Linked DNA regions of Arabidopsis thaliana. The protein of the gene in region 4 interacts with the protein of the main gene of each other region in a biochemical or structural test. Each region holds a gene or a part of one and is shown on either strand. Other genes may lie near its edges.

Region 1 (7,406 bases), on a different chromosome or scaffold from region 4:
CATTTAAGACAGTACCAGAATGAGATTTCTCACTAATGCCTGCACAGAAATGATCAAACATTGAATGTGAAGCTGCCCCATGGAGTACACGTTCTCGAGCACCTGTTTTCACATCCCAAATGTATAAGACATCAATTGGATCTGATTTTCTCGAAAGGGAGCGAAAAAGACATGCAATGTAGCCTCTTGTACCATCCCATACAACTTTTGTAGGATAGTTTGGGTGCCCAGGAAACATCCTTTCGACCCGCAAAGTCTCAAGAGAAGAAAGAGCAACACATGAATCATCCCCAACAGATAGAAAGCACTTGCTCCATGGGCGTTTTGTTGGAGCTGGGGATAGAATGATCTGGCGCACTGGAGCAACATGATGATGCATGATCATGATAACATTTCCGCTTTCGAGATCCCAAATGCGGATGGTACAGTCCATACTTCCGGAGATCAAAACATGAGAAGAATTACATCCATTTGCATCCCCAAACATTCGATGCGCTGCTAAGCATAGAACAGATCCTGTATGTCCCAATAGACGCTGTTTATAGACGAGTGGATCAGTATCTGATCTCGGGCTTGAAGCAGGAGAATCAATTCCATGAAGAAAATCAAACTTTGCAATCTCTATCTCACCACTAAAGAAACCATAGACAACAGCATATGGGACATACATATTCTCAGAAATAACCATGGACGATGACACACACTGTCCATTGTCACTAACAAAGCTTTGTAGATCATTTTTGGCACTGCACTGACTTCCTGACTGCGAAGTACCAGTTTCTGCACTAACCGAGCCCTTGGGATCTAAACAGGAGCTTGAAATCCAATCAGCAAAATAGGAGCTTTCTCCAAGCACTTTGCGCTGAAGTTCTTTTTCTTTACCATTTCCTAGGCACAATGACCAGATCGTTATATGGGGCCTCCACTGAGAAGGTTGTTCAACATCACAACAACTAGACTCAACGCGAAGAAGATTCTGCCTCAACTGAACAAAACAAAACGTTGATTTCACGGAACGCTTATCATCAGGGGCAGTAACAATCTCACCGAAGTTTTTATATGTAAATTCACCATCTATATATGACATAGTAAACAGCACAGCAGAACCACTACCATCCCACAGCACAAAAGTTTCAGAAATACTATCATCTTTATCACCTTCAATAGTTGATGTACTAGAGTAAAGTATCATTGCTTCTTTGAACAGAAAATTTGAAGAATGCGAATCATCAACAAAAGATATCTCTCCTATTGCCTCCTCGCGATTCAACAACCAAAAGACACACCTACTCTTCGAGAAAAACGCAACAAGATCCCCTCGAGTTATTACTGATACAGCAATTTCCCCTTCACTCAACCAGTTTCTAGACACTAGAGAGCCTTTGCTCGGTTCAGATTTCTCTGACACTGAGACCAACTGCAACCTACCAAACGAATCAGCCATAAGCAATGATTCCTGCTCATCTAACTGAACCACGCCCATAAAATTCAAACAACCAATAGATAAATTCCCATGGAAAACTGTATGAACAATAGTAAGAGTGTAAGTATCAACAACAACCACCGTGCATCTCGACTTCTGAAAATCAGTATCTGCTAAAGTCTCAGCCCCATCAACATCGATATAAGAACAACCAACACATACATATCTAGGCTCTGATGGCAAAGTAGACAAAATCGATGGACTTCCAACCCAAGGAGGTAATTTTCTTCGTTTCCTACACTGACCACTACTTCTACTCCATACACACAAGACACCATCAGTACAAGCACTGATCAATGCACAACAGTTAACAAATGGATCCGCATTACCATTATCTGATGCAACAACTCCATTACTTGAAAGTATTGTAGGATCACAAATAGCAAGATCCACTATTGGTGAAGTATGGCCACACAACATAGCAATCGGTTTAATCTCATGATGAGGGAGACGAGTTACAGAATTGGATTCGGAAGAAGAAGAGATGCTCCACCAGATGATTGACCCATCGGATCCACCGGTATAGAGAGTCGGTGGATTGGTTAGAGAGGCTGTGGCGGTGACCCGATGAGACGGAGGAGCACGAGACCATAGGCAGGCCACAGATCGGCACTTCATCGGCTTGAATCAAGCGGTACAAGCATCGACCGAGTCAGTGAACGAGTCGGGGTGAGAGAAGAAGGAAGAACGAACTGGTAAACGACGTCGTAACAGTAATCACGACAAATATATCTGTACATATTTAGATGGATTTTTCGAGGTTGCAAATAAATTTTTTAAGGTAAATATTTGGCAAAAGTTTGATAATTGATATTTTAACTTTACTAGATTATTATCAACTTAAAATACTTAAATCTGTGTATTGGACGACGGGTCCTAATCTAGTCAATATATAAATTATAACTTGTTAAAATATATCATAGTCTAAATTCACAAATCACATTGTATTTGCTAAACTATGAGTAAACGATTACGATATAAACAAAATGAGTAGAAAATGATTATTTTAAATTATTGTAGTTCTCTATAAATATCTTTACCATTAGTTTTCTTTCCTTTTTTCAGTATTATTCTTTTGTCAACTAATTTATTTGTTAAAAAATCTGGACTTATCAAGAATCAATCTTATGTTAAAAAATAAAATCAAAAGGAAATTAGAAAATAAAATAAAATCTAATTACCTTTTTGTTTTTGGTTATATGACCTAGTAGAGGTATTAAAACGTTCTTAAAAGAAAAAAAAAATCCCAAACACAGCAAAAAAAAAAAAAGCCTAGAGGAATAGAATCGGTCTCTTTCTCTATAATCTCTCTCTCTCTCTGACTTGTTTGTGTTCTCTCAAATCCTCTGATAAGAATCAATGGCCAAGGAATTAGCAGAGAAAGCTAAAGAAGCTTTTCTAGATGATGACTTCGATGTTGCTGTTGACTTATACTCCAAAGCCATTGACTTGGATCCCAATTGCGCCGCCTTCTTCGCCGATCGTGCTCAGGCCAACATCAAAATCGATAACTTCACTGGTATAAATATAACTCTCTTCCTTACCGTTAATATCATCGTTAAAGATTGAAACTTTATTAGATGTATTGCTTCGTTGACGCTTTTGGGGTTCTGGGTCTTGTTCTTTTGTCGTTACTTTAATTCGATCTGTTGATAGTGGAACAAAGTTTTGATTTTTGTTATTGGTTTGGTTTAGTTTTAGTTTTAGGGTTTCTTTTGTGAGGTTGTTGATTCGGATAAGAAAACTTATTTGAGTAATTGTAATTGTAGTTACTGTACTTTGATTGAATTGTTGTTGTTTGATGATTTGATTTGATATTTTATCTTTTTGTGGTTTCTATGAGCAGAAGCTGTTGTAGATGCGAACAAAGCCATTGAGTTGGAGCCAACGTTGGCAAAAGCCTATCTCAGAAAGGGGTATGATATTTTCACCATCTCTCTGTAGTGAATGATTTGATGTTATGTTCAAATTTGATTGGAATTATAATTCTATCTTCTGATTCTTTGCTACTGTGTTCGCAGCACTGCTTGTATGAAGCTAGAAGAATATAGTACTGCTAAAGCAGCCCTGGAAAAGGGAGCTTCTGTTGCACCGAATGAACCAAAGTTTAAGAAGATGATAGATGAATGCGATCTTCGTATTGCAGGTATGTTACATCAACTCCATAGCTTAAGAAATTAGTTACTAAACGATTTTGGGTATTTGTCTGCGCCTAGGGCTATAATTTTGATATAGTCTTTGTATCTCTGTTCAGAAGAAGAGAAAGATTTGGTTCAGCCGATGCCACCGAGTTTGCCTTCAAGCTCTACAACACCACTAGCAACGGAAGCTGATGCTCCTCCTGTTCCAATTCCTGCAGCACCTGCCAAACCGATGTTCAGGTAGTCTGGTTATCTAACATGTAAATTCTTCTTTAATTTCCAGAATCATTTTATACTCATAACTTTATTGCTCAACAGGCACGAGTTCTACCAGAAACCAGAAGAAGCGGTGGTGACAATTTTCGCCAAAAAAGTACCTAAGGAGAACGTAACTGTCGAGTTTGGTGAGCAGATTGTGAGTATCCTTCAATCAGAGAATTCATGACTTTTATCTGAACTTCAGAAACTATCTCTCTTTGTAATTTAACACTGTATTGATTTGAGATGTCTATCTTGGCTTTATTTTGGTGCAGCTGAGTGTTGTCATTGATGTTGCTGGAGAGGAAGCTTATCATCTCCAGCCGAGATTGTTCGGGAAGGTATATTTTATTTGACATATGTAATTACGGTGTTTTCACACACACTTTTACTAAATCCTTCTTCATGGGTGTTTTTCAGATAATACCAGAGAAGTGCAGATTTGAAGTATTGTCGACCAAAGTTGAGATCCGTCTTGCGAAAGCAGAGATAATCACCTGGGCCTCCCTTGAATATGGTAAAGGGCAAAGTGTTTTGCCCAAACCCAATGTCTCATCAGGTTTGTCTCAGAAGATACCAGCTTACGTTTACTATTTTATTCTGAACCACAATCGTAAAACCTTAAACAAACTGAACCCAAAGTGGTCTCTCTCTCTTCTCATTTGATTTTATGTGCATATGCAGCGCTGTCGCAGAGACCAGTGTACCCATCTTCTAAGCCAGCAAAAGACTGGGACAAGTTGGAAGCTGAAGTGAAGAAACAGGTTCCACAAACGCTAACTTCTCATCCTTAACACTAGAGGCTTTGCTGTACTTTGTTCTTTCTGCTTATCACTTTTGAATTTCGCAGGAGAAGGATGAGAAGCTTGATGGAGATGCAGCTATGAACAAATTTTTCAGCGACATATACTCGAGTGCAGATGAAGACATGAGGCGGGCAATGAACAAATCATTTGTGAGCAAATCTATCTTTGGTCTTTAAAATTTTGGTTTAATAACTCTGCTTTGTTCTTCGACTAATGAGATTTTCCTCTCGGGTGGTTTTTGGGTTTGACAGGCAGAGTCGAATGGGACGGTACTGTCGACAAACTGGAAAGAAGTTGGGACTAAGAAAGTGGAGAGCACTCCACCAGATGGCATGGAGCTCAAGAAGTGGGAGTATTGATCTTCTTAAAATCCCCTTTTCTGGTTTTTGTTAAAAAAAAGTCTGACAAATCTTTTGAACTTTTAAGGTGTTTTTCTTTTTTGGTTTCTGCTCGAATTTGTCTCTCTCCATTCTTGCGTTGTGGTCTCAAAGAACGTTCTGATACTTTGATTTTGTATTAGAAAACTAAAACTCGCAAGTCTGTTGTTTTGGAACTTTGTTCTTTTATCGAGAGGCTTATCTAAATATTTCTTGACATAATTGCATTGTGGTCTAAAAGGTTAGTTGTATAAGCCCAACTTTCTTTAGTTAAAACCGATGTGCATCTATATAGTGAGACAGTATTTTCACCTTTGGGGTTCCTGGTCTAGGAACACTGTTGTTGAATCCAAATCTTTCTTTCTTCTCAAATGCCTTAAGGATTTGAAATGAACATGTTAAGCTATCATCAACACTCATCAATGCACCAGCATTGTCAAACTCGCCACAGTAATTGGGTGCAGAGAATTTGTCTTCACGAAATCAGAGCTACTTTCCATCTTCATGTATATATTAGCTGATTCAGACAAGAAGGATACTAAGTTACAAGTTTGTTATAAGATGCAAGAGTAAAGGATTTCACTTTGCAGGTTGTATCAACCAATTGAAACAGTCTTGTCACCATAAGTGATTTTAGATTATAATTTGTTTCATGCAAGTTTTTGTGAAAGACTTTTATGGAAGTTCATATATATATATATATATATATATATAATACTAACTGAAATACCAACTTAAAAGTAAAAACAAAATCTCCACAAATGGATCTGTTTTACAGTTATAACAACACTGTAAAATAAAAAAAGACAGTAGCAGGAAGAATTCAGAAGCAAAAACAGCTTCAATCTCTCTCTGATCAGCTTCCTACTTATAAGTATTGACTGACTCTTAATGAAGCTTCAAAAAACAAATCCTTTTGGACAGATTTGTTAGCAGAGAAGTCTTGAGTTGTCAGAAAAACAATAGCTGTTAGGAATGTTGTGGAGAGGTGGCAGAGAAGATGTCTGTAGCAAACTGCTCCCATCATAGCTCGAAAACATATCTTGAGAGAAGCTAGTGTTACCATAAGGGAATTCATGTGGAACAGTGTTTGAGAGATTAGGATGTTGTAAACCGTTGTTGTTATTGATGATTTCACTCATCATACACAAGTTCTGATCAAAACCATGAAGCTGATCCTGTTGCTGCATCAAGTGATTATTCAACCCGTAGTTATTCGCCGAAAGTAACGGTGAGTAGTCTTGTGTGTTTGACACGCCAGGATGTTGAAAGTTGTTGTTGTTGGTGATGTTGTCCAAACACATGTTCTGACCAAAACCATGCTGCATCTGGTAATTGATGAGTTGATTGGATTGTGAAGCAGACAGTGGGAGTTGTGAGAGAGTAGCATCTCCATGGTTGTACATATACAGCGAGAACTTGCTAGGATCCAAGTGTTGTGTCTGGTTCAGATACGATGGTGTTAAACTCTGATGCACCAAGTTTGTGTTCTGTTTTTTCTGCGACTCAACAATACGAAGCCTTTTTTGGAGAGTAGAAAGTGTTCGTTCTAAGGACTGAATCAATTGAGAGAGTTGTTGAGGAGAGTAATGATCAAAGTTTGGATACCAATTAGGGTTCTTCACATAATTCGTCTTCCCCTTATACTTGTCTTTGTCCTTCACCTTCTCTTTCTCGAGGAACTCATGAAGATTGAGGCACTTCTTGCGTTTTCTGTCCTCTTTATACCTCAAAGCCATATTTTTCACTGTCTCTCTATCCTTAGGCCATGTTCTCAGATCACCGTCTGGTCCGTAATAGATGACGCAAACGTCAATAGCACAGAGAATCGAAAGCTCTTCTGCTTTCTTAAAGATTGTTTTAAGTCTGTTTGTTAAACTTGTTGGATTACATGACGAAGAAGAAGAAGCTTGCTTCATCGTGATTTTGCCTTGATTCGCCAAGCAAGAAACTAGGGTTTTTTTTTTCTCCGACAGAGAGATAACACACAAAGAAGAAGCAGAATTGTGGAATTGATGGTGAAAGATTGTGAAACTTCACTCAATATGTTTATATAGATTGCCTTGGTGCCTACGGGAACAAGCATACGCGTCGGCGACGCGTGAAGAAGATAAAAGCAGTATCTATCCTCAAATCTAGGTTACCTCTTCTCTTATTATTTAGCTTATAGTATATATTACGTCAAATAAGATAATTGTTTTTCAAGTTTCATTTTATTATTTTTATAAATTTTACGTTTATGTTTTTAGAATATGTTTCTAAAAGGTTAGTTGTATAAAACCCAACTTTCTTCAGTTGAAAATGCTGTGAACATCTTCCACAATTTTTACAAAAAAAATCT
Region 2 (7,917 bases), on a different chromosome or scaffold from region 4:
GAGCTGATAGTACTGTGGCATTTTTACAAGTCCCTTTGTTATGCCCTACTTGTTTACAGTTAGTACAAGTCACAGTTCCTCCTTCTCTTGTTGCCTTTGTTGGATTACTTGCGGATTCACCTGGTTCCTTTGTCCTAGCAAACTTCTTAGGACGTCCTCTCTTCTTCCTTCTATCAGGCACTTCAATTGTGCTTTTTCCTGTTTTCTTCCATAGCATCTCTCCATTGACTGGTTTTATGTTTTTCTTGTAGTTGGCTTGCTAAACACTTGTCAACAAGTATCTAGAAACATAGCTGCATTTACATGAAAGGAAAATCAATCAATCAAGTATAAAGAAAACGGTTAAAGCATACTCAAATTTTGAATCACTTACTCTTCTGGATCACGGTTATGCTCATTGATGACATAGATTGCATGTGGACAAGGAATTCCTGTGAGGTTCCATTGATTACAAGCGCAAGTCCTATGAAGAATATTGGCTGTAAAGCCTCCATTACCTTCCATCACCTCATATACATGCTCACTATTTTTGAGAACAGTACATAACTTAGCTGATTTGCGATTTGCTTTAAGTACTCCCATTATGTGAGGTGGGAACTTTGACTTACATTTAGCAGTCTGGTCACGTCTTTTAGAAATACGCTTCATTGCTTGTCGCCTTACATCTTCAAGCATACTAATCACAGGCTTCTTCCTAGCATCCCTTAATCCGTTATGGCCCTGTTGAAACTCTCTGATAAGTTATTGCAAACATCCTCACAGCAAGAATGCCCACTGAAAAAGGCTCTACACCACGTCTTTGGCTCTGTTTTAAGCAAATCCTCATAAGCAAGCGGATCATAACTTTTCAAAGCTCTCATGTTGTATGTGTAAGTACCATCTGTTGAGCTGTAGGCAATGGCCCAGAAGTAACTCTCATGACAGTAGTCCCCGTAAACCTTCTTCCAATTGGAATAGATGTGCCTAGCACAATGCCTATGTTCAGCCTCTGGAAGCAAGTCAGCAACTGCATTGAGCAACCCCTTCTGCTTATCCGAAATAACTGTCAGTCCATTACCCACACCTAACTCCAAATCCTTCTTTAGGTGATCCACAAACCAAGCCCACGAGTCATTGTCTTCCACCCTAACTACAGCCCAAGCTATAGGGTAGATTCTATTATATGCATCCCTCTCCACAGCTGTTAGAATCTCACCCTTCAATTCTCATTTCAAAAATGACCCATCTAGACCAATGATAGGCCGACAACAATTTTTCCAAGTTCTACTAAGAGCTTTAAAACATACATAAAACTTGTCAAACTGTTGCTTACCACACTCTCTTGGGATGGTCACAATATCAGTGTGGATATCCTTATTAGACCTTTGAAGTTCTGCCTCATAATCCCATAGCTTTCCAAACTGAACTTTCTGAGTTTCTACCACCATGTCTAAAGCCATTCTTCTTGCTTTTTGGCATATCCACTTAGACACAGAGAGTGTGTACCTCATCATAATCTCATCTTTGATGTCAGTCCATCTCAAAAAAGGCCGCCTTCTTGCTTCATCTCTGAACATCCTAGCGATGACTCCCTGTTTCAGCATTTTTGCTTTCCCACTCTTAGCATGGTGATGCTTATCAACATAAGTTTATACTCTCCATATACCTGAACGCTTATGAGTGGAGCAGTATATCTTCCACTCACAATTTTCATGGCTGCAGATTGCTGCCAACTTATTTGCACCCCATCTACACAACTTCACATCATAATTCATCTTCAATACATACCGCAAGAGTTGATCCTTAACCTCTTAACCACTATTGAAAGTCTGCAACATCCAAATGTATGGAGGTTTATCCTTCGAAAACTTCTGTCGAGATGATGATCTTTCTGCTTGGTCATACGCATCCCATTCATCATCTGTGTCCATTGCATGATCCGGACGCTCTACATCATAACACTGTCTCTCAAATTCATCTTCATCTTCAACCTCTTCAGCAACGGTTTCTTCTGGTACTGTGTTAATGTCTTCAGCTGCAGCATCATCAACAACATCATCTGCAGCTTCTGTACCATTGTGAATTTCGTCAAAGAAAGCCTCAAACCGAGGATCATCGTGCCTTCTTTCTTCTACTGGATCTTCTCCATTAGCTTGTACTCTTTCAGGGCACTCATTAGTTTCTGCTGCAGGCTCCTCGTCTATGATATCTTCGGCATCATCATCCTCAACTCCAAGTTCCTCGTCTTCTACAACATCATTTGGAAGCGGAAAAGCTGCAGGTACAGAGACGGCATTGACGATGTATATGTCAACTTCCCCACCAATCATCGCCTCACGACATAACTCCCTTATCCCACCATCTTTGTCGGCACCGATAACTCTTGCTGAATAGATTTCCTCTTCTGGAAGCTTGTACCAAATCGATTCGACTTCACCATTGACTCCATTTTCTTTGCAAGAATCGTCGAATATAGACCATGTCATCAGATCAGGATCCATCACCATGTCTTTCGCCTCGACCCCTCCAGAGTAATCGAACCCTTGGTCCGTGAAGGATACATCGCCTCTATAGTTTATGTTGAGTTTCAAACACTCGAAATCACTGGAAAATAGAAATTAACCGATTAGTAGTGGTAAACAAACTATAACCTAACTGATTCATAACCCCTAACCCAATTTCAAACAAACCCAGAAAATTTCAAACTTAAGAACCCTAAAAATTCAAATCGACAGACCCACAACACACAAATCGACATACCTCATCTTTTCGACTGTTTACCAACTGGATCGAACGCAGATATACCCGATCAAACGCTTCGAATCATCGCCTCTTTCAATTTCTAAGTTTTTTGGAGAGAAATTAGAAATTTGGGGAGTTAGGGTTTCTCAATCCCAAATCGATTTGGGGGAAAACAAATGAGGGTACTGTAGTCTTTTAGTTAGTCAATTAAACCGCGGATTGTTAACCATTAACCCCGGTTTAGTGATTCCGTCAGCCAAATTAACGTCTGTTAACGCGCATGAATGATTTAACCACGAACAATTAAATAGTGTTTTTCTTGAACAAAATTTAATATTTTGGAACTTTAGGTTCCAATCAAAAACAATTGGGTATTAAAGTTTTAAATAAAAAATAGTTGGGTTTTTTTTAGATTTTTTCCCTAAAAAAAAAGAATAATATTTTGCAAAAAAATTAAATAATTTTTAAGAAAAAGAAATAATAAAACCAAATATTTATTGTGTAGTGGCCATAGTGGGCAATCACCTACTATCCACTCTTATGGAATGTACCCGAAGGGACGAGTAATAAATTTCTTATTTTTTAATTTTGGCAGCAAGTAATAAATAAATTAATTAAAAGTTAAAAATAAATAAAAAGAGACAAAATTTGTTGGAGGAAGAAAGTGGGTCCTAGGGTTTTCTTCTATCTGTCGTTTTGATTTCTGCGTTTAATAAGAGACAAGTCCCCGTCTACAGTCTTTTAGAGACGGAAGCTACTGAGACAGAGATTCACACCATTGTTCTTTGTCTCTTCCTCTGATTCTTTCTCTCTCTCTCTCTCTCTCTCTCTCTCTCTCTCTCTCTCTCTCTCTCTCTCTCTCTCTCTCTCTCTCTCTCTCTCTCTGTCTCGTCTTTGTTTCGGTTTCAAGAAAGCAAGAGGAAGAAGAAGAAGAAGAAGATGGGTAGGTCAAAGTGTTTCATGGACATTAGCATTGGAGGTGAGCTTGAAGGAAGGATTGTTATTGAGCTTTACGATGATGTTGTTCCCAAAACCGCTGAGAATTTTCGATTACTCTGTACCGGTGAGAAGGGTTTAGGTCCAAATACTGGTGTACCTCTCCATTACAAGGTTCTCTCTTTCTCTCTATATCTTTGTTTATACTCTCTTATGTATGAAATGTAGAAATGGGTATTTGTTGTTTCTGTGATTTAGGGTTTGTGGTTTAATGGGTCATTCGTCATTGGGGTTTATAAAGATCAAAACTTGGTTAAATTTGCAATTAGTTGTGAAAGAAAGATCAAAACTTTAGGATGCAATTGTACTATAGAATGGTTCTGAATGCTTATGATTTGAGGTTTAATGGGTTTTTGCTCGTATTGCTGAATAGCTTCTGACTTTGTTTCAGTATTGCAATTAGGTTACTGTAGTTTGTAGTGGTGAGGTAAAGATCAAAACTTTAGGTTGAAATTGTACTATAGGATGATGTACTTATGGTATTTGGTGTATTTGTTTACAGGGGAATCGATTTCATCGTGTTATCAAGGGGTTTATGATACAAGGTGGGGATATATCAGCTAATGATGGTACTGGTGGTGAGTCTATCTATGGCTTGAAGTTTGACGATGAGAATTTTGAGCTGAAACATGAGAGGAAAGGGATGCTCTCTATGGCTAACTCTGGTCCCAACACTAATGGCTCTCAGTTTTTCATTACGACAACTCGCACTTCTCATTTAGATGGGAAACATGTTGTGTTTGGAAGGGTTACGAAAGGAATGGGTGTTGTTCGGTCGATTGAGCATGTTAGCATAGAGGAACAGTCTTGTCCTTCTCAGGATGTTGTGATCCATGACTGTGGAGAAATCCCTGAGGGTGCAGATGATGGGATTTGTGACTTTTTCAAGGATGGTGATGTGTACCCTGACTGGCCTATTGATCTGAATGAAAGCCCAGCTGAGTTATCTTGGTGGATGGAGACTGTTGATTTTGTCAAGGCTCATGGGAATGAGCACTTTAAGGTGCTTTTTCCATTGTTTTAAATTGAATATATACGTTTGTCTGTTCCATATTTTCATTTCTGTGAGTCTGATCTGTTTTTGACCTTGATTTACTCTCAGAAACAAGACTATAAGATGGCTCTTAGAAAGTACCGTAAGGCTTTACGCTATCTGGATATTTGCTGGGAGAAAGAGGGCATTGATGAAGGTGGTTTATCAGTTTTTCTCTCTATATATGTTTCCACTTACTTCATCTCAAAAAATATTTATACTATCCATACCAATGTTCCCACTCACTCTCTACTTGGGATCTTGTAGAGACGAGTACTGCCTTGCGTAAGACAAAGTCGCAGATCTTCACTAATAGTGCTGTAAGTTCATCATGCTTTTACACCTTTTTTAAAGCTACATACATCCTTGTTGATATCTTTTCTTGTAAGTTGAACATATCTACCTTATATGTGTGTGTGCTTTACGTACCATCTGAAGATTGATTGTCTTTGGAGTCGTTGATTTTTCCAAAAGAACTTAAATTTCTTACTCTGTTGGGTTTTTAACATTACAATTTTTTTTGTTGAATCTGCTTAATTCTTACGGATGAGCTGTACCGTCGATAGAATGATAAGCAATTGATTGTGAACTAAAAATTAATTTGAAGTGCTCTACACTGCAGACCTGTCATTTATGTTGGTTTCTGCTGTTTGATTAATTTCTTGGGAAAAAGTAGGGTAGGTTGACCTTGACATAAGCAGGATAATATTCTCTGAGATTATGCTTGTGGGACATACATTGCTCATATGAATTATTGTTTGCATCTCTGTTTACGTTGCCAGTGTTTTCACTTGTCCAACTTAATTGCTTTGTTGTGCCTGTATAACCGATTTTTTTTTACTATGTTATCTCATTGTATTGTAACTGGCTGTTGTGGCAGGCCTGCAAACTCAAATTCGGAGATGCAAAAGGAGCGTTGTTGGACACTGAATTTGCTATGCGTGATGAAGATAACAATGTTAAAGCATTGTTTCGACAAGGCCAGGTACTTAAAAACTTATTGTTTGACAGTTTTCTAGAACCTAGACCACAATAACGAAAATTCTAGATTTCTCATGAGAGGAAGATGGTGTCTATTTCTTATCTGCGTTTGTTTATAATGTTAGGCATACATGGCTCTTAATAACGTCGATGCTGCTGCTGAAAGCCTTGAGAAAGCTCTTCAATTCGAACCTAATGACGGTGAGTGATTCATCAAGCTTCTATTAGTTGTGGTTTGACAAGTTTGGTTCATCATTATCAATGTATGAACATAGTACAACACACTTAAATATATTACGAGAGAAATCTAACTAGCATTTATTTCTGTGAGTTGATTTTTCAGCTGGTATCAAGAAAGAATATGCTGCTGTTATGAAAAAGGTCGGTATGCGGATAAAGAACACAAGTTCTTTTTGCAGTTACTTTACTTCTAGTATAAAATCTTAGAGCTGACGTTAATAACCATGTGTTGCAGATTGCCTTTAGAGACAACGAAGAGAAAAAGCAGTACCGCAAAATGTTCGTATAGGGGGGGGGGGGGGTGCTCTGCTTCATTTAGGGTAAGCCTAAGATTTGTTGTTAATCTCAGAAAACTGACCTAGTGTAAGCTTTATGTCAACTAATTTAACTCTCAGGGTTTTTGATGTTGTCTATGTAGGTTTGGTCGGATAGTGAGGAAGAAGACTAACAAAAAGTGAAAAGAAGCATATAAAGAAAGAAAAAACATTCAAAAAAGGACTTTGGGAATTGTTTCTATTTCCCTCATTTTGGTAAACATGTTTTTACTTTTGCATCATGGCAAAGACTGATGCATAGTAATATCGACTGGGAAATTGTTTTTACCCAAAGGATAGATTCAGTGCTTGAGACTGTTAATGAAATTTTGAGTTACTTGGCCACTCTGAGTTCTTTGCTTTCTTCCACGATTTTTTTCACGTTTGCTTGAATCAGCAAGTGGGCACTACAATGCTAGGGAATTTTGGTTTCCGCAGCATGCATATATGCTTACAAAAAATCCATTGGGAACTGTTTCTATTTCCCTCCTTATGAAATAAAATCAAATACGATTATTTTTTTTTGCGAAAACAATACTTTCTTCTGTTTCTAAATGATTGATTTTCTAGAAAAAGAATTGTTTCTAAAAGATTGATTTTTAAAGTTTTTCATGTGATATTAATTGGTTAGTATTGTGAACTGTAATTTCCAAGAAAAATAGTTAATTATCATTGGTTTAGAGTTATAGAAAACTATAAAATAATAAAATAATATATTTATATTGTTTTCTTAATATGTGTGTTTTGCTAAAAATCAATCTTTAACTTAATAGAGCAGGTAGAACTGAAACAGTTTTATACTAATAAGTGTAGACCAACGACAATCACAAATTACAGCGACCGTCTCGGAGGACCTCCACCATTCTGACAACCACCGCCGCGACCACCTTTACCGCGTTGACTACATGATGCTGATACTGGTATTAGCTTCCTTCTCTCTGCTATTTTATTTATAATAAAAAAGAAAACTCACAATTTATTAAATGCTAACTAAAATTAATCTACTGATTTAATGAAAATACTCTAAATAGTGTAGGGTCCTTTTTATTGTTGATCCAAACTGAACCAAAATCGAAATTGTATCAAACAAATGAACTGATTTGCTTTCATTTTTTTCCGATTGATATCAAAACAATAACTAAAAAATATAGTTAAGGAAATCAATAAAATGAAATTTTAAATTCCTTGAAACTTTTAAAATTAATATATAATAATTCAAACGAAAAGCCGATATCAAATGAAGTCGATTGAAAATCAGTTTCTCTTTTGGATTAAAAATTCCTAAGAAAATCTATTTGTGTTTTAGGACCAGATTAACTCATATATTGTTTTACATACACTAACGAGAAAGAAAAGAAAAAAGAAGTATTGATAGAGAGACCGTTGATACGCCATGGGTGTAACTCTTGTCGAGAAGAAAACACACAGTTTATGCGCCAAGGGGCCGCCAATAAAGCCAGTAAAAGCAAGAAGACAAGCCCCAAACTCGAAGGACCCTTTTTTGCCATCTTTGTTACTCTCTTTTGTTAGTTTGCTAAACCGCTGAATTTAACGAGTGAACAAAAAAATTCAAACATAAATACAAACCAAGAGTTCTTCTTCGCCACACATTTAGTCAACAAAAGACTGGTT
Region 3 (8,305 bases), about 18 Mb from region 4:
CCGACCGACCGACCAACTTCTCATGTTGACTAAACCAATCTCTCTTATATACACAGATTGGTCCCAGTTCTCTTGTCATGTATCGGAAGTCCATATTATTGGAATCTTCTCAATATATATAATTCGACCTTCACATTGTACAACAAATTTAGACGATAGTCGATAGGGGAGCCACATAAAATTGGACCATGCAAAGAACTGTATATAATTTTATTTAAACTCAATTTTTTTTTTTTGTTTTCAATATTCTAACTTCCTTTATCAAAGCCCACCAATCAAAACAAAGGCCAGCTAAAATAGGCCTTTTAATTGTTATTGCCTTATTGGATATTTTTGTTGTAGATTGTATAACTCAGGCTCTGCAGTTGTCAAGTTCTATCTGGCGTGGATAAAATAATCGTATTTGTGATCTAACAGCTAACATAATTTCCTAATAGACAGTTGATGTTTTAAGCTTTTAGACAAGAAAGAAAGATCACCTATATATTGAAGAATAGTGTAAAAATAAAAATGGTTGATATTATAGGAAAAAGTAATTCACAAAGAGTCAATGAGAAAAGATTTCAAATGCTTGACAAATTCCTTGGACTTCTCCAAATTCACAGCATGTCCTGCTTTCTTGATCACCACTATCTCTGCACTCTCTCCTATATGTCTGTTTCACCATACAATTATTATAAACACATAAAAAAATACAGAGGGTAATCTCTATAGTTAATATACATGTTGTTGTTTACCTTTTTAATCTGTAACCTAGTTCCAGTGGAAATATTTGATCTTCTTCTCCCCATATGATCAACGATTTCTAATTCAACCAATAAACACACACATACACACAATGTTATAGGAACTGCGAAATTTACATAAGCAAATTAAAATCCGAATAAAGGTTTGTACCTGTTTGATCCTAGGAAGATCAGAAAGTCTCCTATCTTTGAGTATTGATTTGATCAAATCTCTCTTCTCCTCTACAAACTCCGTACACATTACCTTTTCAACATTTTGAACAACATTTCTCAAAACTCCAACATTTATCAACAAACAAACAAACAAAGACATTATTATAAAGGAAAAAACTTACATCGATAAAATCCCAGAGAAAAAACGAAGGAACACCTTTGATTGGTTTAACGAAAGAGAATCTTATGAGTTCCTTAAGCTTTTCCGGCGTCTGAGGAATCAAAATTCCGGTAGCTTCTTCTAGATTCGGCACCTTAAACAATCCGTCCTCCATATCTTTCTCCTCCAAACAAACCCCTGCGCAGCACAGCACAAGCTTCTCAACGTTCTCCGGAAACTGCGCCGCTAAACTATACCCAACGAATCCACCGTAACTAATCCCGACGATGTTCATCCTCTGGACTCCGTGCGCTTCCATTAACCTCATCAGACACCGAGCCTGGAAAGATTCGGTTCGGTTTGGTTCCGATGTGGATGATAACCCGAAGAAGAGGAGATCGGGAACGTAGACGTTGAATCGGCCGGTGAAAGCTCGGAGATGTTCTCCGTATTGCCACATTGCGTTGGCGCCGAATCCGTGGAGGAGGAGGAGATTAGGTTTAGATCGATTCGGGGATTTAGGAATCCAACAATGCATAGCTGTTGATGCGATTGAATTGCCGTGGGAGAGATCTGTCGTTACGGAACGTAGACCGGCGTTTGCGAATGATTGCCGGAATAACCAATCTCGCGACGCCGTGAAGCTGAAGCATCGCAGCAGTTTCATATGATCAAACATTTTTGATTCGAATAATTCAAAAATGAAACAGAGGAGAAGATACGGAGGCGTGACGATGACGAAGAGGAAAAAAACAAACAACGAATTCAGTTATTTGTCGAGAAATTGATTGTAAACGTGTCATTTATGGGTCCCTCCGTGTAATTTAAGGAATTACAGTATTGGACTTGGGGGAAATTGTAATTTACGTAAAAGACCGTTAAGAAAACAAAGAAGCTAAAAGGACCCCATAAAACTTTTCAGATCAAGTAATTAGAGGTAGAAGTTTTCATCCCAATCTGTACACATGTCACAAAACCACTAAATTATTAGTCTGTTGAAACCGGAGCAAAACCTTTCCTTTTTAGGGTTTTAGATAAGTGAAAAGATAGATTGGTGAACAAGAGAAATCGAGTAATAATCCTTTTTAACTCATATGTGTTTTCGGAGTCTCTTCTCAGCAACCTTTGCCGTCTTGTTCTGTGGTTCAAGGACCAATGCGTGCCTGAAATCTGCAGAGATGATCAACCATAATGTTACGCTCCAATACCCTACTAGAGAGAGTAACTCATCTGGATAGCTAGATGAATTTTATCTTTTAACAAGTTTCTCCAATGTGATAAAATTACAATCTCAGAGTAGTTTAATCATCATACCTGCAGCAGCTTCCTTGTACCGTACAAGTGATTCTCTAGCAGTCCCTCGTCTCAAATATGCCTTCACATTCTGTAGAAACAAATAACTATTATAAGAATCAAAGCTTCCAAATAATGCGTCATTGTGTCTATAGTGAGTGATCTGAGTGATAATGAAACTAGATAGTCATAGTACAAAGGTATTACGCCGCAAATCAAATAAATAAAAAGTGAATAGTTTTGTTCCAGCTCAAGTGTACTTAAACACAAAACCATGTTAAAAACACAATGTAACAAAACAAACTACGAGGGATGGAGAAATAAGGCAGCTAATCAAGTTTTCACCTTCTTATCGATCAACATGGCCTTGGTACAATCTTGTTCGGCTTGTTGGAAGCTATAAACAAACTCTCAGATCAGAAAATCATAATAAATTATATTCAGATCAGAATGAAAGATATGAAGAGAACAATTACCAGCAAAGTTCCAAGAAAGCTGCAGCTCTATTGCAATAATAAGTAGCATTTGCTCCATTCAATTTTATAGCTTCTGTATAAAAGTTTACCGCCTTATTCCATTGTTTCCCCTTGTATGCAGCATTGCCCTGGAATTACATTTTATCCACTGTTAACTTTGAGAACATTCCAACTCCAGTAGCATATCATGGATCAGAACCAAATATACTATTTGTCAAACTCAAAGAGATAGTTTTACCTTTTCTTTCATAACTTCAGAAGCCTCCATGTTACCATTGGTGTCAGACACTGGAGCTAAGTTGGATGCAAGTTTGGCTTGGTCTTGAAGGGATGCATATACATCGAGAGTTGTATCGAGAAGGAACTTATCACCTCCATAGTAAGTAAGAAGCGACACGGATATTGGACGATCACCATGTTCCCCTAAAGGAATTGTAACCTGAAGAATATGTATATATTTGTGTCATGACTAAAGACTGAAGAGTAAGGAAAAGGCAACAAGAATGTTCCCCAACCATTGAATGAGAAAGAGGAGATGGAAATATACCTGACAACATCCAGACATGCTTGCAATGCAGGAGAGTGCATAAGTACGATCAAGAAACTCATTCAAAGATTTATTTCTCTTTGTGTTAAGCCTTGGAGGGGGATCAGCAACTGTGGGGATTACCAGAATTCCATCTTCCTAGTAATAAGATACCGATCTATGGTTAATCATAATACCATAGAACTAAAAAGAAGCCGCAAAAATGAAAGTTAATAATTCAATCTCTTCAGACTTCAGTGTTTTGGTGGCAAAATGTCCTCAAGACACTAATGGCTGTGAAAATTTTAAATTTCCAAAAATCGAGTTTACCTTTAAAAGGCTTTGAATGGTGGCCCGCATCTCATTTTTCACTCTGTAGAGGGATTTAATGCTCTCGTTTTTGCTCTTCAGAGCTGTAACAACATCATTGGAAAATCTTGGCCCTAGAAACGATTTGCATGTTTGCCACCATTCTTCATGATTTGTTTTGAACTCATGCCTGGTAAAAAGAAAATCCTTTCTTCTTCGATATTTGCATATAATACAACTTAAGAAGAAAATAGTAACCTCCAGCAAAGAGGGAATAACAACAATCTTTTATTGCACCCGTTTAAAAGGAACGAGAGAGAGAAAAAAGTATTGATGCAGTGAAAATTTCAAGAAGTGTGAGCTTCTTAAATACCTTTGTATAGCCAACATCACAGATGAAAGAGCCCTTAAAGTTGATGCTGAATTTTGGGATTTCCCAGATTGCTCACAGAATTCCGCAAGACTTGGTACATTTGAAGCGACATATTGGCCAACGTTAACATGTTTTGGAGTCTTGTCTGCATGAGCCAGTGGTCAAGAGACATAAGATATGAATCTGGAGAAGGGCAAAGAGAAGGAAACAATACAGCTGCAAACTTACAGCCAGATAGATTCTCGATTGCCTTTCTGACAACTTGCACCGACTTTTGCTTAGGAATGTCAGAGAGCTCGAATAAATCATCAGCAAAGATTAAAGATCTTTGCCTTCTATGTGTTACTGCACTCAGATTTAGTAAGGCATGTCCAACTTGACACAAAACGGATGGATCAGAGGCAAACCATCCTACAGAACGAATCAATGAGTTCAATAATCAGGAAGGCAAACACCTAGAGTAGCATGTACCATTGAAACTACACTAAAAACACTAAAAGGGAGGGGAATGTAACGTACCAACAGTCTCTAGGCTCTGAGAATTGGGCAAAACTCCAACTGAAGAAACAGTCCCCTGAGATGGTCGAAAACCAAGAATACCACAAAAGGCTGCTGGGACTCTAACACCACCAGTGGTATCAATCCCTGCAAATCAAGCATCTTTTGATTAGCATAAAGAACCAAACGTAATCCAAGAAACACATTACCAAGAGAAAACGAAGAGATTAACAATACCAAGTGAAAAGTCAACGAGTTCAGCCCCAACAGAAACTGCTGAGCCACTGGAACATCCTCCAGGAACATTATCTGGCATCAATGGATTAATAGGAGTTCCATAGTGCTTGTTTTCTCCAATAATCCTGTAAAATCACATTCAAAACACAAACTTTCTTCAAACCAACTACCGAAAGGTCATTTCATATGCAGAATGGTAGGAGTGGAGAGATACCCAAAACCCAGCTCATCCATTATAGTCTTGCCAACACAAGTAGCTCCATTTTTCAAGAGCGTCGTGACAACCACAGCAGTTTTCTCAGCAGCCTCATGAGTCTTCTTCCATTGTGGACAACCAAATCCTGTGATATAATCCTTAACATCGAACCTGTCAAACCATTAACCCCGATATAACTTTATTCATTTCATTGCAACATGACTTCGTCTAAGCAAGTCAAAATCTCAATTAAACCAAACAAAAGTTTTGAACTTTATAAGCGAGATCATTATATAAAGCAGGAAAAAACAAATTTGAAAATAGGTTATGATTTTTAAGAGAGAGAGAGAGAGAGAGAGAGAGAGAGATACATACGCGTCGGAGATGGAGAAGGTAAGACCAGAGAGAGATTGTTTAGCAGCAGGAGGAGGAGGCGGAGGGAAAGGAAGAAGCTCGAAACGATCTAAGAAAGCACCAAAGTCTTCTTCTCTAAGGGCTCTAATCCGCCGCTTCCGGGTCTCCGCCAGAATCACGATCCCGGCCACCGTCACGCCGATCACTACCCAAACTTTGGGATTCGAGGCATTGCTTTGAATCAAAGAAAGCGTATTCGACATAACGCGATCTCACGAGAAAGAGAGAGAGAGAGAGAGAGAGACAAGGGTTTTAGGAGGGTTTAAGAGAGAAAAGGGGAAAGAAAAATAGGAGAGAGATTTGGAAGAAGCAAACACAGATGCTATCGTGCGCACTGTGTCTAAACCCTTTTAATTACGAGTGATGACTTGGCCAGCCGTGAACTCAAGTCCGTCTGCCCAAGGCGAATCTTCTCTTTTTGATTGATTAATAATTGTCTTTACGAAATCGATAAAGAAATTAAAAAAAAAAATTAAATTAAGAAAAATGGAAATTTTAATTTTAATTCCTTTATTTATTAGAATTACTCGTTTCAATTTTTTTTAATAAGCTTGTACAAATTGATTTAGGTTTATAATTTCTTTTGTTGGCCATTTCTTCTCTTAATGAACTTTTCCACTCGTGGAAAAATAGATTTTAAGCTAGTCAAGCCACTAAAAACCTCAATATAATAATGAAAAAATTAAAATATATACTGCTATAATTTATTGTTAAGTTTCCATTTTCTGTAGCCTTGCCCGTCAATCCAATTTTATCTTCAGATTATAGGAAAATCCAAGTTAAGTTTTTTTTATAGCTTTAATGGTTTACCAATCCAAATTTGGTAGATAAAATGGCATGTCGACCCGGATTTATAACCTTTAAAAGTTAGCTCAATATCATACTACCATTCAAATTTAAACTATAACAATATGACTGATGTATGAGTTTGACCAAAACAAATATGATGTATAAATTGCAGAAAACAGCTAATAAAGAGAAGAATATTCAATACGGATACAAATATGAATCAGAGTAATCCAACACTTGGCTATATAATATTAGCAGAGAAAAGCCAAATGAACAAATAAAAAAGTTATATATTGTTAAGACGAAAGAAAATAGTGAATAATTCTATTTCAATCCAAGTAATAAATTAAGCGGTAAATATCAACTATGGTATTTACAGAGAAGAAATAAAGTTAGAAAGTAAAAGAAGGAAAAATGAATACGAGTCAGAAAGTAAAATCAAGGAGAAATAGACATCATCAATGTGTCATCGTTCAAAAGAGACTCAATGTCAATAAAATCGTCTTCTTCACAGTTGACTGCTTCTTCTTCTTTATTGTTTATAGATGCACTTGATGAAGCCTGCAACAACAATTTATCACAAGAATGCTCAACAAAATATGATTAACTGATTATGTTATGGGTCTTGGGTACCTCATTTTCACGGAAGCCCTCAACAACCGTTAGGAGTCTACGGTATTGATCCCGTGCTTCTGGGTATTGAACCATCGACTTAACACGAGTCAGAGCCTTCTGTAGCCTTTCCTCTGTTTGTTTTCTTCCCTCTTTAAGATAATCATACTCATCTTCCTGTGGGATCCTAGGACATATAGCTGATACAGGCGGTTCCGGTTCCACGGTTTTGGCGACTGCATTGCGTTTAAACCCTCTCAAACCATTACCTTTGCGTCTCCAACGCAAAATGATTTTCTCGAGTAATCCCACAGACCAGATGACTGTTCGGTATTGTTTCCGGACCTGATGTCCTCTCACATGAGCCTAAAGGTAAATGTAATATGATTCCAGCAATGAGAAACCAGACAAAAGACTTATGCAAAGAAATAAGGGGGAGAAAAAAAAACTCAATGAAAGGCAAACCTGAATTTTAACGATTCTTTGTCGGATTAAAAGAAACTCTTTTCTCTTCTTCCAACCACGATATTTCTTCTGGATATGGGTAGCAGCACAACTAAGAGAGACATCACCCTGTCCTGGATTCTTAGTTTTAGAAGCTGCAAAAGAAACAGCTAACTGGTCGGAGATATCAATCTTTTCATCATCGCCAATATCACACAGCTGTTTCCGTTGGAATGATTGCATCCTGAATACTTGATGGAGACGATCAGCCGCTTGCGTAGCATTACGGACAGCAGTAAGTGAATCCTTCAAGGAAAGTTTCTCTGGTACATCGCCATAGGTCATAGGAGCAGCGGTTCGCTCAGAGACTGTTTGAACAGCTTTTTCTCCACAAGAGTTGGCAGGGCTATTTTCCTTTGAGTCCACTGTTAGCTTTTCAAGATAACTAGTTAAGGAAGACTCTGCAAGAAATCCCGAAATTCCCCTGTGTCCATTTGCGTAAGCCAAATCAGCTGCTGTTTTACCCAATGGAAGCTCTGGAGATGGATCCGTTAATGCCCCAGCATCAGCACCTAGAGAGACAAGCACAGCGACAGTTTCCTCCCTATAGTTAACAGGAAAAGGAGTTAGTTTGATATGGCAATGTTGACCAAATAATAGAGTTAAAGCATCATCAATGTGAGCATCTTAAACGAAATGCAAAATCTCAAATAATAATATTATGATTAAAGGAAATTGAAGATATGTGAGATAGAGGTCCATACCTGCCACTAAACGCAGCCCAATGAAGGGCAGACCAGCCATTGGCATCACGGAAGTTAATGTTAACTCCTGCTGCTAACACCGGTTTAATGGCCCAGTCATACCCAAGCGCTGCAACAAAGTGTAAAATACCCTGTCCATCTTCATCCAATATGTTTGGACCTTTACCCTCTTCAGTCACTTTATGTATGAGCCATATATATAGTTCTTCTTCAAACAGTTCCCTAAAAAGCTGTCCTTTTGGTTCTTGTTTGGTTGAGTCTCTCTGATATGTCCCTGGAAGGAGATACTCTTTCTCCTCCTTTAGCAACATAATT
Region 4 (7,046 bases):
CCAGTTCCAGTTCCAGTTCCAGTTCCAGACTTAACGTAGACGACAACCTAGGGTTCAAAGGCAATTCATTCATACCTAATGGGCCGAATGAATTCATGGGCCATGTTAGAGGCAACTAAAAGGCTGGACGAAACTATCTATTTTAGCCTTTTAGGGGAGGTAACGTATTAATGTCCCCAACTATCTTTTATAGGATGCATAGTTGGTTTTAACTAACATTAAAGGTGTTACTAACAATGGGCAATGATGGTAAAATTATAACGCAGTGGACACAATATAACTTAGCCATACCAATGCAAAGAATCTTGAAACTAGTATTAAACTCAGTCACGTATATGCTCTCCAGTCTATGCTTCGAAGAGCTTTCTTCTAATCCCATACGAAGAAGCTCTCTATGTTTTTCTAATTTAATCAGGCTTAGACAACTAGTTTCAAAGTCATAATTCTTGGTGTCTGAGTTGTCTTCCCTTTCCATCGAGTTTTTTAAAGATCGTGTCTTTTGGTTTCCAGTTCCAGACTACGTAGGCGACACTTCAGGGTTTCAAAGGCAATGGCACTAAAAGTCACTAATGGGCCTAACGACTTAATGGGCCTTGTGAAACGTTACCCAATAAGAGACCTGGTTTCTCACTGAGTTCAACCATCTTCTTCCCCATGGCTCTGAATTCTTCAGCTTTCTTCGTTCCATGTCACAATTACAATCAAATCTGTGATCTTCTTCTTTCTTCAGCTCGAACCAGATCAACTATTAAAGGACTTCAGCTTCATGGCTATGTCGTTAAATCAGGCCTTTCTCTTATCCCTCTCGTCGCTAACAACCTCATTAATTTCTACTCCAAATCACAGCTTCCGTTTGATTCTCGTCGAGCTTTTGAAGATAGCCCACAAAAAAGTTCGACGACTTGGAGTTCAATCATCTCTTGTTTTGCCCAGAACGAGCTTCCATGGATGTCACTCGAGTTTCTTAAAAAAATGATGGCGGGAAACCTTAGACCTGATGATCATGTTCTTCCATCAGCTACAAAGTCGTGTGCGATTTTGAGTCGTTGTGATATTGGTAGATCAGTTCATTGTCTATCGATGAAGACTGGGTATGATGCTGATGTGTTTGTGGGGAGTTCTTTGGTTGATATGTATGCGAAATGTGGAGAAATTGTTTATGCGAGGAAGATGTTCGACGAAATGCCTCAGAGAAATGTTGTTACTTGGAGTGGGATGATGTATGGGTATGCACAAATGGGTGAAAATGAGGAAGCTTTGTGGTTGTTTAAAGAAGCTTTGTTTGAGAATCTCGCTGTTAATGATTACTCGTTTTCGAGTGTTATTAGTGTTTGTGCAAATTCGACTCTACTTGAGTTAGGTAGACAGATTCATGGATTGAGTATTAAGTCTAGCTTTGATTCTTCTAGCTTTGTGGGAAGTTCTTTAGTCTCGTTGTATTCAAAGTGTGGTGTTCCTGAAGGAGCTTATCAAGTTTTTAACGAGGTGCCTGTGAAGAATCTCGGGATTTGGAACGCTATGCTCAAGGCGTATGCGCAACATTCACATACTCAAAAGGTTATTGAATTGTTCAAAAGGATGAAGCTTTCTGGAATGAAACCAAATTTCATAACTTTTTTGAATGTGCTCAATGCTTGTAGTCACGCGGGTCTAGTTGATGAAGGGAGATACTACTTTGATCAGATGAAAGAATCGAGGATTGAGCCGACGGATAAGCATTACGCTTCCTTGGTGGATATGTTAGGACGAGCTGGTAGATTACAAGAAGCACTTGAAGTTATCACTAATATGCCGATTGATCCCACGGAATCTGTATGGGGAGCTTTATTAACGAGTTGTACAGTCCACAAGAACACAGAGCTTGCAGCATTTGCAGCAGACAAGGTCTTCGAATTAGGACCAGTGAGTTCCGGTATGCACATTTCGTTATCCAATGCTTATGCAGCCGATGGTAGATTCGAAGACGCAGCTAAAGCTAGAAAATTGCTTCGAGACCGAGGGGAAAAGAAGGAAACAGGGCTAAGTTGGGTTGAAGAAAGGAACAAGGTTCATACATTTGCAGCTGGAGAAAGACGTCATGAGAAAAGCAAGGAGATATATGAGAAGCTGGCTGAGTTAGGGGAAGAGATGGAGAAAGCGGGTTACATTGCAGACACAAGCTATGTTCTGAGAGAAGTGGATGGTGACGAGAAGAATCAAACCATAAGGTATCATAGTGAGAGATTAGCTATTGCTTTTGGACTGATCACGTTTCCAGCTGATAGACCGATCCGAGTAATGAAGAATCTGCGTGTTTGCGGTGATTGCCATAACGCGATCAAGTTCATGTCCGTATGTACGAGACGAGTGATCATTGTGAGAGATAATAATCGGTTTCATCGGTTTGAAGATGGCAAGTGTTCTTGTAATGACTATTGGTGAAGAAGACAAATGAGAGTTGGTTTATATTTAACCATAATTTCATTCAGTTCACACTGAACCGGCGAAATTTCTTTGCCAGACCTATTCGGAATTGAAACAAGTGGAGTCTCGAAACGAAAAGAACTTTCTGGAATTCGTTTGCTCACAAAGCTAAAAACGGTTGATTTCATCGAAATACGGCGTCGTTTTCAAAGAACAATCCAGAAATCACTGGTTTTCCTTTATTTCAAAAGAAGAGACTAGAACTTTATTTCTCCTCTATAAAATCACTTTGTTTTTTCCTCTCTTCTTCATAAATCAACAAAACAATCACAAATCTCTCGAAACGCTCTCGAAGTTCCAAATTTTCTCTTAGCATTCTCTTTCGTTTCTCGTTTGCGTTGAATCAAAGTTCGTTGCGATGGCGGATGTTCAGATGGCTGATGCAGAGACTTTTGCTTTCCAAGCTGAGATTAACCAGCTTCTTAGCTTGATCATCAACACGTTCTACAGCAACAAAGAAATCTTCCTCCGTGAGCTCATCAGTAACTCTTCTGATGTAAGTTTCCCTTCAAATCTCTCTCTGCTCGGTGTGACTCGTCCGCTTCCTATTTTCTTGCATGTTGTTTGTTCTTTAATTCCTGGATTCGTTGATAGCGTTGGATTCGTAGGTTTAGCGTTGTGATTGCTTATTCAAATAAATCGTGATTTGGCTTGTGCATCACGTTAAGTTTAGAATTCTTAGCTTGTGCTCGATCTTCATGTGTTGTAGTTACATATATAGAACGGTTCTTGCTTCGATGTAGTCTTTGATTTACCCTAGAGGATTGAGGAAAGCTTCTGATTATCTTTGTTTATATGAATGGTTTTGTAGGCTCTTGACAAGATCCGATTTGAGAGCTTAACGGATAAGAGCAAGCTCGATGGACAGCCTGAACTCTTCATTAGATTGGTTCCTGACAAGTCTAATAAGACGCTCTCAATTATTGACAGTGGTATTGGCATGACCAAAGCAGGTAACGAATCAATGCCTAATAATCTCTCGTTGGTGAGATGTTTTAGTGTATGTGCTGTGGTTATGACTCTCTATTATTTTTTCAGATTTGGTGAACAACTTGGGAACCATTGCGAGGTCTGGAACAAAAGAGTTTATGGAGGCGCTTCAAGCTGGAGCTGATGTAAGCATGATAGGACAATTTGGTGTTGGTTTCTACTCTGCTTATCTTGTTGCAGAGAAGGTTGTTGTCACTACAAAGCACAATGATGATGAACAATACGTTTGGGAGTCTCAAGCTGGTGGTTCCTTCACTGTCACTAGGGATGTGGATGGGGAACCACTTGGTAGAGGAACTAAGATCACCCTCTTCCTTAAGGACGATCAGGTAAGGAATCGTAGCTTTGAGTGTTTTGGGGATTGTTTCTTTTCTTTTGGTGTTTTCTGTGTTCTTACAAGTGTGTTTATTCATGCAGCTTGAATACTTGGAGGAGAGGAGACTCAAAGACTTGGTGAAGAAGCACTCTGAGTTCATCAGTTACCCTATCTACCTTTGGACCGAGAAAACCACCGAGAAGGAGATCAGTGACGATGAGGATGAAGATGAACCAAAGAAAGAAAACGAAGGTGAGGTTGAAGAAGTTGATGAGGAGAAGGAGAAAGATGGTAAAAAGAAGAAGAAAATCAAGGAAGTCTCTCACGAGTGGGAACTCATCAACAAGCAGAAACCGATCTGGTTGAGGAAGCCAGAAGAGATCACTAAGGAAGAGTATGCTGCTTTCTACAAGAGCTTGACCAATGACTGGGAAGATCACTTAGCCGTGAAACACTTCTCAGTGGAGGGTCAGCTAGAATTCAAGGCCATTCTCTTTGTACCAAAGAGAGCTCCGTTTGATCTCTTTGACACGAGGAAGAAGTTGAACAACATCAAGCTTTATGTCAGGAGGGTGTTCATTATGGACAACTGTGAAGAGCTAATCCCAGAGTACCTCAGCTTTGTGAAAGGTGTTGTTGACTCTGATGACTTGCCACTCAACATCTCTCGTGAGACGCTTCAACAGAACAAGATCCTTAAGGTGATCAGGAAGAATCTAGTGAAGAAGTGCATTGAGATGTTCAACGAGATTGCTGAGAACAAAGAGGACTACACCAAATTCTATGAGGCTTTCTCCAAGAATCTCAAATTGGGTATCCATGAAGACAGTCAGAACAGGGGAAAGATTGCTGATCTTCTACGGTACCACTCCACAAAGAGTGGTGATGAAATGACGAGCTTCAAAGATTACGTCACAAGGATGAAGGAAGGTCAAAAGGACATTTTCTACATCACTGGTGAAAGCAAAAAGGCGGTGGAGAATTCTCCCTTCTTGGAGAGGCTGAAGAAGAGAGGATACGAGGTACTTTACATGGTGGATGCGATTGACGAATACGCTGTTGGACAATTGAAGGAGTATGACGGTAAGAAACTTGTTTCTGCGACTAAAGAAGGCCTCAAACTTGAAGATGAGACCGAAGAAGAGAAGAAAAAGAGGGAAGAGAAGAAGAAGTCCTTCGAGAATCTGTGCAAGACGATTAAGGAAATTCTCGGGGACAAGGTTGAGAAGGTTGTGGTCTCAGACAGGATTGTGGACTCTCCCTGCTGTCTAGTAACTGGTGAATATGGATGGACTGCAAATATGGAGAGGATTATGAAGGCACAGGCGTTGAGAGATAGCAGCATGAGTGGTTACATGTCGAGCAAGAAAACAATGGAGATCAACCCCGACAACGGTATAATGGAGGAGCTCAGGAAGAGAGCTGAAGCAGACAAGAATGACAAGTCTGTTAAAGATCTTGTCATGTTGCTGTATGAGACAGCTTTGTTGACGTCTGGATTCAGTCTTGATGAACCGAACACTTTTGCTGCTAGGATTCACAGGATGTTGAAGTTGGGTCTGAGTATTGATGAGGATGAGAACGTTGAGGAAGATGGTGATATGCCTGAGTTGGAGGAGGACGCTGCTGAAGAGAGCAAGATGGAGGAAGTCGACTAAGAGATGAAGAAATTGCTCTTATGGTTCTGAAAACTTCTAATATGTCGAGTTGTTCTGAGTTTTAAGATTTTCCAAAATGTCTTTGTCTTTTTTTTTATATCTTTAGAGTTACTTGAACATTGTGACTACTTCTAGGGTTGGGTTTGTGTCAGGTCTGTTATATCGTGTGGTGGGTCTGTCTAATACTGATTCAAGTTTTTGTTATTCAGCTAAGGAACTTTTCTTGTTTCTGAACAAATCTTTTGGTTCCCTAGAGTAAAACTTGACTTCCAAAAGATAGACTTCCTAAGATCACTGGAATAGATAGGAGTGACAACTTGACGTGAAAGGTAGCTTGGCTATAGTAATTTTAGATCTGACAAAACGAGATCAAGAAGTTAATAATTTTCACAACACCAATTTGTTATCGCTTAAAGGTTGATTGATTTGTTCAATAGGGGGAATCATATTCTCGCATGCTCGAAAAGGGGAGAGAAGATGGAATGAACATAACTTTAAATCGGATGTTTGATTCAACAACAAAACTAAACTCAGATAGAGATTATGAAGGATTCCGGAATCTGAATTACAAAAGCAAAATTTAAAGCTGAAAACTCCTCCATGGTCTTACTGTCACCTAAAGACATTTCTTTTTCAAGGCAAACCTGAACCAGATGGTGCAGCTGCGCTGTAGCCACCAGCACCACGGCCAAAACCACGGCCACTTCCCTGATAAACAAGAAAGGATGTTAGAACAATGGCAACCAAACAAAGAGAAGGCGGGTAAATCAAATCACAAGGCAATTATATAACTATAGACTTTGAAACACTTCACAGCTAAAGTAAAAGATTTATGTTCCTTGTAACTAAAGTGATAAAGAGAGACTAAATATGTTCATGGTTTCTCAGGTTCAGGAGCTCTATGATAAAGACTTCAAGAGTAGCACATTATATGACGTTGGTGAGATAGAGAAGTAAATAGAAGGTATGGTCAGTGAGAATTTACTTGGAAAGATGGCTGGTAATCTGCGGGAGCTCCACCCTTTTCACCTCCAAACTCACCACCAGCTCGAGGACCTGCACGGTACCCATCACGGTCACCAAACCTGGGACGGTCTCCTCCTTCATGGCGAGGTCCTCTGAAATACAAAGAAACCCAAACCATGTCAAACAAATTAAAAAAAAAAAAAGTTTTTGCCAGACATGAAATGGGTTAAGCAAAGAGTTAATCACCTTGAGCGATCACCAGGTGGGCCACCAAATGGACGACCACCAGGCTTAGCTGACTTCTTCAAAGTAGCAGGAACAACATCAGATGGAAGATTAAGATAAGTTCTCAAGAACTCGATCCCTTCATTGGTCAAAAACCAATAGTAATGCATCCAGGCAAATGTCTCCCTAACATACTCCTTGGATTTGAAACTCTGCATAAGCTTAATCACTTGTAGGTTGGGGACATCGATCAACGGATGCTTAGCAAGATTGAAATCCTTCTTCGCAAAGCAAACTCCTTCTGCAAAAATCATAGAACATATGATAATCAACACAATGTTCACCTTCTAAGCCAAACATCATAATTGCTACCATAACTAGTTAACCTAAACTAGTTCAAAAATCACAATGTTCATCGGCATAAGCCT

The links.
Region 1: the proteins of HSP90.1 (region 4) and SGT1B are reported together in a solved structure, tested with the Arabidopsis thaliana proteins (one study listed by BioGRID).
Region 2: the proteins of HSP90.1 (region 4) and SQN form a complex in vitro, tested with the Arabidopsis thaliana proteins (one study listed by BioGRID).
Region 3: the proteins of HSP90.1 (region 4) and TOC64-V form a complex in vitro, tested with the Arabidopsis thaliana proteins (one study listed by BioGRID).

The regions. Positions count from the first base shown.
Region 1 is NC_003075.7:6,849,156-6,856,561, reverse strand, and holds SGT1B (phosphatase-like protein), read left to right. Parts: upstream 1-2,649; 5' UTR 2,650-2,842; coding exon 2,843-3,002; intron 3,003-3,329; coding exon 3,330-3,399; intron 3,400-3,504; coding exon 3,505-3,629; intron 3,630-3,737; coding exon 3,738-3,864; intron 3,865-3,942; coding exon 3,943-4,039; intron 4,040-4,157; coding exon 4,158-4,223; intron 4,224-4,302; coding exon 4,303-4,441; intron 4,442-4,566; coding exon 4,567-4,646; intron 4,647-4,732; coding exon 4,733-4,837; intron 4,838-4,939; coding exon 4,940-5,047; 3' UTR 5,048-5,378; downstream 5,379-7,406. Other genes in the region: AT4G11270 (Transducin/WD40 repeat-like superfamily protein), read right to left, coding at 1-2,101; AGL52 (AGAMOUS-like 52), read right to left, coding at 5,995-6,984.
Region 2 is NC_003071.7:6,876,487-6,884,403, reverse strand, and holds SQN (peptidyl-prolyl cis-trans isomerase / cyclophilin-40 (CYP40) / rotamase), read left to right. Parts: upstream 1-3,505; 5' UTR 3,506-3,660; coding exon 3,661-3,831; intron 3,832-4,219; coding exon 4,220-4,720; intron 4,721-4,819; coding exon 4,820-4,907; intron 4,908-5,017; coding exon 5,018-5,070; intron 5,071-5,630; coding exon 5,631-5,735; intron 5,736-5,856; coding exon 5,857-5,932; intron 5,933-6,074; coding exon 6,075-6,112; intron 6,113-6,206; coding exon 6,207-6,260; 3' UTR 6,261-6,291; intron 6,292-6,389; 3' UTR 6,390-6,630; downstream 6,631-7,917. UniProt on the Arabidopsis thaliana protein: PPIases accelerate the folding of proteins. It catalyzes the cis-trans isomerization of proline imidic peptide bonds in oligopeptides.
Region 3 is NC_003076.8:2,925,595-2,933,899, reverse strand, and holds TOC64-V (translocon at the outer membrane of chloroplasts 64-V), read right to left. Parts: upstream 5,728-8,305; 5' UTR 5,585-5,727; coding exon 5,343-5,584; intron 5,139-5,342; coding exon 4,986-5,138; intron 4,897-4,985; coding exon 4,772-4,896; intron 4,682-4,771; coding exon 4,556-4,681; intron 4,448-4,555; coding exon 4,265-4,447; intron 4,182-4,264; coding exon 4,037-4,181; intron 3,854-4,036; coding exon 3,685-3,853; intron 3,514-3,684; coding exon 3,376-3,513; intron 3,268-3,375; coding exon 3,067-3,267; intron 2,957-3,066; coding exon 2,829-2,956; intron 2,750-2,828; coding exon 2,698-2,749; intron 2,444-2,697; coding exon 2,374-2,443; intron 2,230-2,373; coding exon 2,150-2,229; 3' UTR 1,879-2,149; downstream 1-1,878. Other genes in the region: AT5G09430 (alpha/beta-Hydrolases superfamily protein), read right to left, coding at 538-655, 738-805, 898-990, 1,082-1,738; EICBP.B (ethylene induced calmodulin binding protein), read right to left, coding at 6,609-6,731, 6,804-7,148, 7,248-7,830, 7,991-8,305. UniProt on the Arabidopsis thaliana protein: Chaperone receptor mediating Hsp90-dependent protein targeting to mitochondria.
Region 4 is NC_003076.8:21,349,721-21,356,766, forward strand, and holds HSP90.1 (heat shock-like protein), read left to right. Parts: upstream 1-2,836; coding exon 2,837-2,959; intron 2,960-3,274; coding exon 3,275-3,416; intron 3,417-3,501; coding exon 3,502-3,782; intron 3,783-3,870; coding exon 3,871-5,427; downstream 5,428-7,046. Other genes in the region: MEF1 (mitochondrial RNAediting factor 1), read left to right, coding at 655-2,421; AT5G52650 (RNA binding Plectin/S10 domain-containing protein), read right to left, coding at 6,061-6,135, 6,413-6,545, 6,640-6,919. UniProt on the Arabidopsis thaliana protein: Functions as a holding molecular chaperone (holdase) which stabilizes unfolding protein intermediates and rapidly releases them in an active form once stress has abated.